2 linked regions of the Coturnix japonica genome follow. The protein of the gene in region 1 purifies or fractionates together with the protein of each later gene. This does not show direct contact. Links are inferred from orthologs where the notes say so. Each region holds a gene or a part of one and is shown on either strand. Other genes may lie near its edges.

Region 1 (4,730 bases):
TCAAATGTAGTTAACAGACTTAATGTATCTCTAATCCTGTGAACTCACGCCATCATACCTGAAGATTCTTCTTCCTGTGGAAGACAATGGATTTTGCCTTGACTTTTCTGTCCTTAATATCCACTTTGTTGCCACACAACACTATAGGGATGTTTTCACATACCCGTACCAGGTCTCTATGCCAGTTGGGTACATTCTTGTAAGTAACTCTTGATGTTACATCAAACATTATAATGGCACATTGAGCTGTAAAAAAAACCAAACAATTACATCAGGCAGGTAACCACTTTCTTATAAACTGGAGTGGGAAAGAGTACCCACAATAATCAGTTATTAGGGGTGCCAGCATTAGGTTTCTCTTCAGTCTCACAGTTGAGAACATGCCATTTACCAGATCAAAGTGCAAGATAATCACTGTGCAGGAGTCCACAGAACTCAGCCCATGACCCTGTCATATGTTTGGTGCTTAACTCTAAATGCCAGCTGCTTCTATTCATGCAGCATCATGCGACAATTCTAATGTTGCATGGCACAGACTACACAATGATTACAAAAGAATTTTAGTTCACCTTAATACCTGAGAAAAATGTCTTAATGCTACTGAACTAATCTCAGCCTATTGAGGCTTTCAGATAAGTGGAGAGCTTGTAGTTCACATCTCAGAATGCCCCTGTCCAGAACAGCTTGCCAAAGAACACTTGATTCTGATACTTCTAAAGGAAAAGTCAGGCTCTAAACCTGTCTTGCAGAATGTTAAAAGGTACATGGGTGACTGAAGTACTCACAGAACAGTCCCTTATCTTCAAGGTCAAGCTCTATTACTACACCTTTAGAAAGGCCATTAGCCTCAGCCAAGGACATGTAGAACTTCTTTATACTATTTTATGTTTTATAGTATGTTTCTTCCAAGTCTTTGCAGCAGCACAGGATACCAATACAGGTAATTTTTACTCACTTACGCATACTTACCTCTTAACCACTTAATTTCATGAGTACTATCACTGAAGGTGCACAGTTACTCTTCAGTAAAATCAAAGCCCACAGCAATGGGTTTCACAGACTGAAACTAAGTTTTAGTACGGAAACAGATCTGACTATATTTATACAAAGTTCCAACACTCATAAGGGAGCTCACCAGTGTAAGCCATGTTAAAAGCTCTCAGAGTGGCCAAACTGAACAGAACACAGGACATAACTACATATGAGCACATCTTACCTTGGATGTAATAGCCATCTCGCAGACCACCAAATTTCTCCTGGCCAGCTGTGTCCCATACATTAAATTTAATAGGGCCTCTATTAGTATGGAATACCAGAGGATGAACTTCAACACCCAATGTTGCTACAGTAATAGGAAAGAACAGTCAGCAAGTTGTCAATTATACTTTCGATAGTAACACACAAGATCTTGAGTATTTCTTCAGACATACCTACATATTTCTTCTCAAATTCACCAGTCAAATGACGTTTTACAAATGTTGTTTTACCGGTGCCACCATCACCGACCAGGACAAGCTGTTAATACATTTAAGTAAAGAAGGTCAGAGCGACATAGTTTGTCTTACAAAATACCGTGAAGAAAACACTAAAATTCCCAATGAAGTAACTTTCTATGTTGGGTTTTAATTTGTTAAACGAGTCATTCTATAAGTCCTGTCCAAACTTAACTAGTCCCTGTAACTGAGAACTAGAACACATTGTGCTAAAGATGTGTTATAATAAAATACAAGCATCTGAATTGCTGGAGAAAAGAACTGTAATCTTGCAATTGGAAAAAAAGAAAACCTGTGTTACTAACAATTGGGATATATTAGATGAACAGTGTAAAAAAAACAAGCATCAATCAATGCAGCAGCCATAAGACTTCTGGCTGTTAAGGTAACAGCTCTGCTCCATTATGTTCCACCCCAGTAGTTGATGTGGCATAAAACAAGTTGCTCTAAGTCACTTTTAGCACTCTTTGTTCGTTGCTGTGAATATCACTCCATGAAGTCACCACGTTTTAAGTGGTGTTTTTATGTGAAGTTATTTTTTTGGTAAAGCAGCAAATAGCACCAGATTGATAGGACAATAGAATGCTGTTGTGAGGCAATGCAGTACGTGATCAGCTCAACACATCGATGAAGTCAGCACTTTAAAACCAAATCCACCATCCACGGCACTTCTTGGAAGTTCTTCTTGCTACTTTTCTATGGAAGGAGAGGAAAAATAGAAAGGATCCTTTACCTTAAACTGCACTTGGGGCTCTCCTTGGGCGGCCATGCTGGGTCTGCAGGGGGAAATGGAAGCATGTGTGAGCTCAATGAGCCGAGCTGCTTCAAGGCCCCGCCGGAAGGGGCCGGCCGAGCTTCTCGGCTTCCAAACCGCCTCCCGGGCCGCGTGCTCCGCGTTTCAACCATCGGCAGCCGCTGCAAAGGCCCCAAGTTCGGCCCGGGCCGATGCTCCCCACCCGGCCCTGGTCCCGGTTCGCCATCACCGCCCCATACGAGGCGGCAGCGCGCGGTAATGGCGGCGGCAGCTCCCCGCCCACCCCCGGGGCCCGTAACGGAAGAGCCGCCGCCGCCACCACCGCGCCCCTGGGGCTTCCACGCTACGATAAACGGGGCCGAGCCGCGGCCTGACTATTAAAAAGGCGGCTCCGGCCTTTATATATGAAACACAGCAGCACATCCCGTTCCAAACACCTCATCGGGTGGTGCGGGCCGGTCGCAGCCCCCATCCCCATCCCACCATGACTGAGCAGCGCCGCCTCCCCTCCCCCCCCCCCCCAACAGCCGCCCGGACCGTTGGAGGCCCCGCTGCCATGATTCCCATCCCACACACCGCCCGCTGTTACCTCAGCGATGAGCCGGGCTCCGCTCTCACCCCACACGGCTCCAATAAGGGCCACAAGGACAGGCCGCCACGCAGGCACGGCGCTCACGCGGGCCCGGCCTCAACACAACCCAACCCGGCGGTTATAACACCGTCCACCCACCTCACAGCAGCCTCACATCCCCATAACCCGGCCCTAAAGGGAACAGAACCCCATCCCAACCCCATCCCATCCCTATTACCTCTCCCGGGGCTTCTAACCGCGTCGCTCCGTGCCGTGACTGGGCGCTGGGAAGATGGCGGAAGCGCGGTTCAAATACCCGGACAGCGACGCCGCGCGGCAGCGGGGAGGGGGAGGGGCTGGGGTCACGTGAGCGGGCGGAGCTGGGACTTGGGCTGGGCCCGGTTCGGTTCTGCCCGTGTCTGTGTTGGTTCTGATCCGGCACCTCGTGTCTATGTCTCTTTAGTGGGGCACAATGCTCCTGCTAAAGGACATAGAGATATAGGACATAGCCCTATGTGGCTCCACGCTGCATCATAGCGCTTCCCTAAGCGCTCACATTCAGGTTATAGTGGAAAAAAAAGTTGTTGATAAGCTCTTCCAAAGAGCAAAGATGCATTTAGTGGAAATACAGAAAGAAAACGCAGAGGAGGCACGGCACTGTGCTGTAGTTTGCTTATCTCATAGACCACAAGGGATGGTACTAAAGGTAGGTCAGGCCCTGGAACAGGCTGCCCAGGGAGGTTGTGGATGCCCCGTCCTTGGAGATGTTCAAGGCCAGGTTGGACGGGGCCATGGGCAACCTGATCTATGGGGTCTCTATGGGGTCTCTATAGGGTCTATGGGGTCTCTATGGGTCTCTATGGGGTCTATGGGGTCTCTATGGGGTCTATGGGGATCTATGGGGTCTCTATGGGGTCTCTATGGGGTCTCCTGGGCAACCTGATCCACACTGGGACCACATCTGAACCACACCGGTACCACCCCATGTCTCTATTGGACTCCCCGCGCTCCCGCGCCCTTTCCCGCCCATTCTCCTCCCGCCGCAGCCCCGCGCATGCGCAGCTCCCTTCCCGCCCAGCATGGTGACGTCAGCAGATCCAAGGCGCGCTTCCCGGTGTCACCCCGGGGCTCGGTTGGCGCATGCGCACTGCGGTGCGGGCTCCGGTTCGTCGTGACGTCGTGTGTGTGTGGGGGGGGGGGCCGAGCGCTGGGCCCGGCCTGAGCGGGGCGGCGGCGGATACGGCGGTCGTTGGAACGGGGCTGTGTGAGGAACGAGCGGAGCTGAGGAGCTGAGGGGATGAAGGACCGGCTGGCTGACCTGGCTGAGGTGAGAGCTGTGGGGCCGCTATGGTTGTAACGGTCGGGGAGGGGCGCGAGGCCCGGGCAGCTGAGGCGGCACCACCACAGGAGTGGCGTGTTTATCCGTTCCCTTCCTTCCCCTTCATTCGCTTTCTGGAAACGGTGTTCTGAGAAAGAAAAGGAGCTGAGCTGATGCTTCTCATCCATAGGATGTGGTATGGTTGAAATGGAAGATTTCCCGCATGGTTTTTTTTTTTAATTTTCCTAATCTGGGAATAAATAGCAATGGTGTATGTTGCATGTAGTCTCCTTTTTTGGTTGTGTGCTATTCGTTTCGGAGGAAATAGAAACTGGAGTTTGTGTGCTGTTAGAAATAGTCATGGCTTCTGTGAGTCCTCTATACCAAGAGGGAAAAATGTTACTTGTCAGTGCTCACAGAATGAGCCGGGTTGGAAGGGACCTCAAGGATCATGTAGTTCCAACCCCTCTGCCTGGCAGGGCCACCAAACATACACATTTACTACATCAGGTTGCCCAGGAGACCCCATAGATCCCCATAGAGACCCCATAGACCCCCATAGAGACCCCATAGATCCCCATAGAGACCCCATAG
Region 2 (4,281 bases), on another chromosome or scaffold:
CATACATTTCTTAACAACATAATTGAAACAGAATGGCTTCTGTGTACTGTGGCTTTAGTTTCACATGCACACACTTCTCAGCACTGTAAAGTCTCTGTGGATGATATCCCTTCCTTCTGCTGCATCACCTGCACCACTCAGCATAGTGCCATCAGCAAATCTGCTGATTGTGCCAACCCTGCTTTCTAGGTCACTGATCAAGATGTTGGAGAACACCAGTTCTAGGATGGGCCCCTGGGGATCACCAGTCAGTCACCAGCCTCTACATGCTGAACACAATCCTCTGGCTGCAAGCATCCAACCAGTTATTTAACCACCCTTCAAATCTGTATTTCTCTAGTTTAGGGATAAGGATGTAGTGTGGTGTTGCACCAGAAGGGGTTTAGGTTGCATATTAAGCAAAACCTTTCCTCAGAAAGGATGGTGAGGCATTGGAACAGGCTACCCAGGTAGGTGGTGGAGCCACCATCCCTGGAGGTTTTCAAGAAGAGTGTAGATGCAGCATTGATGGATGTTGTTTAGTAGGCATGGTGGTGATTGATTGGTGGTTGGAGCTGAGCACGTTAGAAGTCTTTTCCAACTGTAACTATTTTATGAACATGTCAAAGGCCTTGCAGAAGTCTAGGTAGATGGTATCTCTTGCCTTTCATTTGTCCACTGATGCTGTCACTCCATCACAGAAGGCTGCCAGATTGGTCAGGTATGGTTGGCCCTTGGTGAAGCTCTGCTTGCCGTCTCATATCATCTCCAGTTTCCTGCCTTCTCTGCTTAGTAGATTTCTTATGCTGGGGATGGAGAGTTGTCTTGAAACTGCTGCCAGCTCTGTACTATTCCTTTGTCCACAACAACAGCTTTATGGGGATCCCATCCAGTAATTCTTCAAACAGATGAAATGTCACTCTCCTGAATGTCAGGGTCCCGGCTTTGATCTGTGCCAGGCCCATCTTCCTTAAAATCACAAACTCAAACAGGATGTAGTTGCTATAGCCCATGCTGCCTCCAGTCTTAACCTGTTTCATGATTTCAACTGCATCAGTGAGCTCCAGGTTCAGTAATGCTTCATCCCCTGTTGGTGCAAGGAAGCTGTCCTCAGTAGCACTGCAGAAGTCTCCTGGATTGCTTAAGGCTCACCATGTTGCTTTTCCAGCAGACATCCATGTGGTTGAAATTCCCCATCAGAATGGGGACAGACCACACATCTCTTGCAGACAAAGCAAGAAGACCTCATCAGTGGGCTCCTTGATCAGGGAGCCTGACCACCAGAGGTCCCTTATTGGTATGGTCCCCAGAAGCACTCAACCTGATTGTGACTGTTTTCCAGAGGCAGCTGTTCACACTCTGTGCTTATAGAGCAACTCCTTCCCCACTCCTTCCTTGCCTGTCTTCTGAAACGTTGCAGCCCTCAGCTGAAGTGTTTCCAGTGTTGTGACTTGTCTCACTATGTTTCTGCAATGGCAACTACATCACAGTTTCTAACTGCACCATGGTGTCATCTCCTGCTTATTTTCCATGCTGCATGCATTGGTGTAGAGGTACTTTGGGCAGGCTGTTGGCCACGATGCCTTCTTGTAAGAGCCCTCTGAGACAGATCTGAGGTTTTTCTTTGCTGCTTTCTAAAGTGACAGTGTTTCCTGGCTCTTCTCTGTCACTTAAAAGTACAAGCTCTTCCCCCATCAGATCTTATTTAAAGTTCTCTTAGCCCAGCCAGCTTTCTGCCCATTAAATTGTTGCTCTGTCCCAACAGTTGCATACCATCCAATGTCAGCCTACCCAATCTCTTGAAGGTGTGTCCAGAATCACAGAACCCGTAACCCTGAGATTGATACCATTCCTGCAGCCAGTCACTGGCATGGTCCTTTCACTGCATCCACGTGGGTCACAGTCTCCAGCCAAGAAGAATGAAGAGAACACTACCTGTGTTCCTGATATTTCTGTATCCCAAGGGAGGAGCTTATCGTGTTTTTGTCATTTCCTTGTGGCTTCCTCATGTAACTCATCTTGAAAGAGCAGGAGTGGATAGCAGTCCTCCATCTTTATCAGACCCAGAAGCTTTCTCGATGGAGTTCATCTCCTTATAGAGTATAGAGTGAAAAAGTACTGTCTAATTTTCATGTTGGTTGTCTTTCATATTGTATACTTAGGCTTTGCTTAATGTGTTTAATGTTTATTGTTTAGTAGAACCAGGTTATTCCCACTTTGTTTTGCCAGCACCATTTGGTAACGCTAAATAGAGCATAATGTAGATGTATTTCTTAGATGTGTCTAATGCTGGGACTGTGTTGTGTTAGTACAAAACGATGAGAGTGGTTTAGAATCTTCTAATATGATGTAGAGTTACCACTGTCTTTGTAAGCATCACCTTTTTCTCCTTTTGCTTGACAGAATAATAACAGCCAATTTGAGTATGTGCTTGTTTAAGGCTGATGTTGCTGATCTGAAGCTGACTGTGCTCTGATTCTATGCCTTCCTCTCCTGCAGGTAATTTTTGCAGAGTTGTTTCAGCTTCCTTCTCCACCACACATCGAGGTCATGTACACAACGCTCCTGATTGAACTGTGCAAGCTTCAGCCTGGCTCTTTACCACAAGTTGTATCCTTCCTTTGTTTCCAGAGAGCATTTTTAAAATGGAGTCTTTATGCCACTTGTTCTGTAGGTGAAGAAATAGCAATAAATATTGTCAGTAATCTATTTTACAGCTGCCATATGAGGCTTTGCTTGTAATACTTGCATGAAAGAACAGCACAGCCCGTGTAGCATCGGTCTAGTCTGGGTGACTGAGCAAGACTACTCAGATTTCTGAACACTACGCTGGTACTCCTTTCACTTTCCAAAGAGTTGCTGTTCTAGTATCCTGTTAGGACTGCATAACGTGTGGCCTGATTGCATATTGAAGGCTGAGAAGGAAAGGAAGGGATAAACTTAATCTGTGTGAGCATAGCAGATCATTTAAAATGAACCTGCACAAGTTCCTACTCAGATGCTCTCAGTGGAAGCATCTGGACATGGAAATCCAGACATGGCCTCACCAGGGCAGGAAAGGGAAGGATCACCTCCCTCAGTGCATTAACCACACCTGTTGTAATGCACCCCAGGGTACCATTGGCCTTCTTGGCCAAAAGGACACATTGTTTGAAAATCACGTAATGCCAGTGATTAGAGCTAGAAAGGTTCCTAGAACTGTGGGATCTCTGTGCAGAAGGCTTTTAATGTTAATAGGGATGCTGTAAAAGAACAAAGCCTTTGTTGGGCAAAGCCAGCGTAGACACAGTTTCTTGAGTTTTCAGTTATGATCAAAGGTTGTTTGTGCATGAGTATCAAGAGCAGCCTGTTAAGGTACAAGGAAGGTTACAGAAGTACTTGATTGTTATCTGTTTGTGTCTGTACAGTTCTGTTGCGTGAAGAGAATTCTAACTTGGTGTAGCAGACAGCAATCTCACTGCCATGGAAGAGAAACAGTGTTAGATGGGAAAATGCTTTTTGGCTTCTTGTCTTTCTGTTATCCCCCCCCTATGAATTTAGTGTGATTTACCTGCTTCTGGAATAGTCCAAAGGAGCTATCAGTTCTTGCAGTTCTATTCCAAAACTGAATGGAATTGCATTTGATTTATCCTAGTGCTTTTTTGTTAACCTTAATAAGAAACTTCAGCTTGCACAAGCCACAGAAATGCTCTACATGCGTTTGGATACAATGAATACAACCTGTGTTGACAGGTAAATGTGTTTTCCAGGGATGGAAAATATTCTTTGTTTTTTCTATGTGCTGGGCATTAAGGAATCTACAGAAAAAATAATCCAAAATTCTTACTATAAATCCTTAGTGCCATTCAAAACAATTTTGGAGGGCTCTTGATATGATCAATGTAAATAGAAGTTTGGGGCCTTGTGCCCTTTCTTTCTAAAACACTCCGCTATAGTGCTGGCAAGAACTTCTGTGTATCCATCCATATGGTACAGTAGGACATGACACTCTCTCTTGGTCCAGAATATCTGGTTTCTGATTTTCCGAACTTAGTCTTTTGACAGAAGTGTAATGCTGTGCTGCCTTTGGCATATAGAATGTATTTACAAGAAATTCTCAAAGGAAGGAATTTTCTGCACTCTGAATATTTAATAAAGCTTTTTTTTTCTTCTTCTTCTTACAATGAAGATTCATTAACTGGTTTTCTCACCACTTGAGCAACTTCCAGTTCCGTTGGAGCTGGGAAGATTGGTAAGTTTATCGCATATTAATATGAAACTCATATTGCAGAAACCATAAACTTTCAAACTCAGCCAGAAAGT

What was found. The genes of interacting proteins can lie anywhere in the genome.
Region 2: the proteins of RAN (region 1) and NCBP1 purify together in Homo sapiens (co-immunoprecipitation; 3 studies listed by BioGRID and IntAct, with this or other methods). This does not show direct contact. The link is inferred for Coturnix japonica from reciprocal best matches to the Homo sapiens genes RAN and NCBP1.

The regions. Positions count from the first base shown.
Region 1 is NC_029530.1:2,657,677-2,662,406, forward strand, and holds the start of RAN (GTP-binding nuclear protein Ran), read right to left. Parts: upstream 3,188-4,730; 5' UTR 3,057-3,187; intron 2,270-3,056; 5' UTR 2,263-2,269; coding exon 2,227-2,262; intron 1,516-2,226; coding exon 1,431-1,515; intron 1,343-1,430; coding exon 1,217-1,342; intron 247-1,216; coding exon 59-246; intron 1-58. Other genes in the region: STX2 (syntaxin-2), read left to right, coding at 3,429-3,524. UniProt on the Homo sapiens protein: GTPase involved in nucleocytoplasmic transport, participating both to the import and the export from the nucleus of proteins and RNAs. Switches between a cytoplasmic GDP- and a nuclear GTP-bound state by nucleotide exchange and GTP hydrolysis.
Region 2 is NC_029547.1:62,565,511-62,569,791, reverse strand, and holds part of NCBP1 (nuclear cap-binding protein subunit 1), read left to right. Parts: intron 1-2,478; coding exon 2,479-2,589; intron 2,590-3,646; coding exon 3,647-3,711; intron 3,712-4,147; coding exon 4,148-4,210; intron 4,211-4,281. UniProt on the Homo sapiens protein: Component of the cap-binding complex (CBC), which binds cotranscriptionally to the 5'-cap of pre-mRNAs and is involved in various processes such as pre-mRNA splicing, translation regulation, nonsense-mediated mRNA decay, RNA-mediated gene silencing (RNAi) by microRNAs (miRNAs) and mRNA export.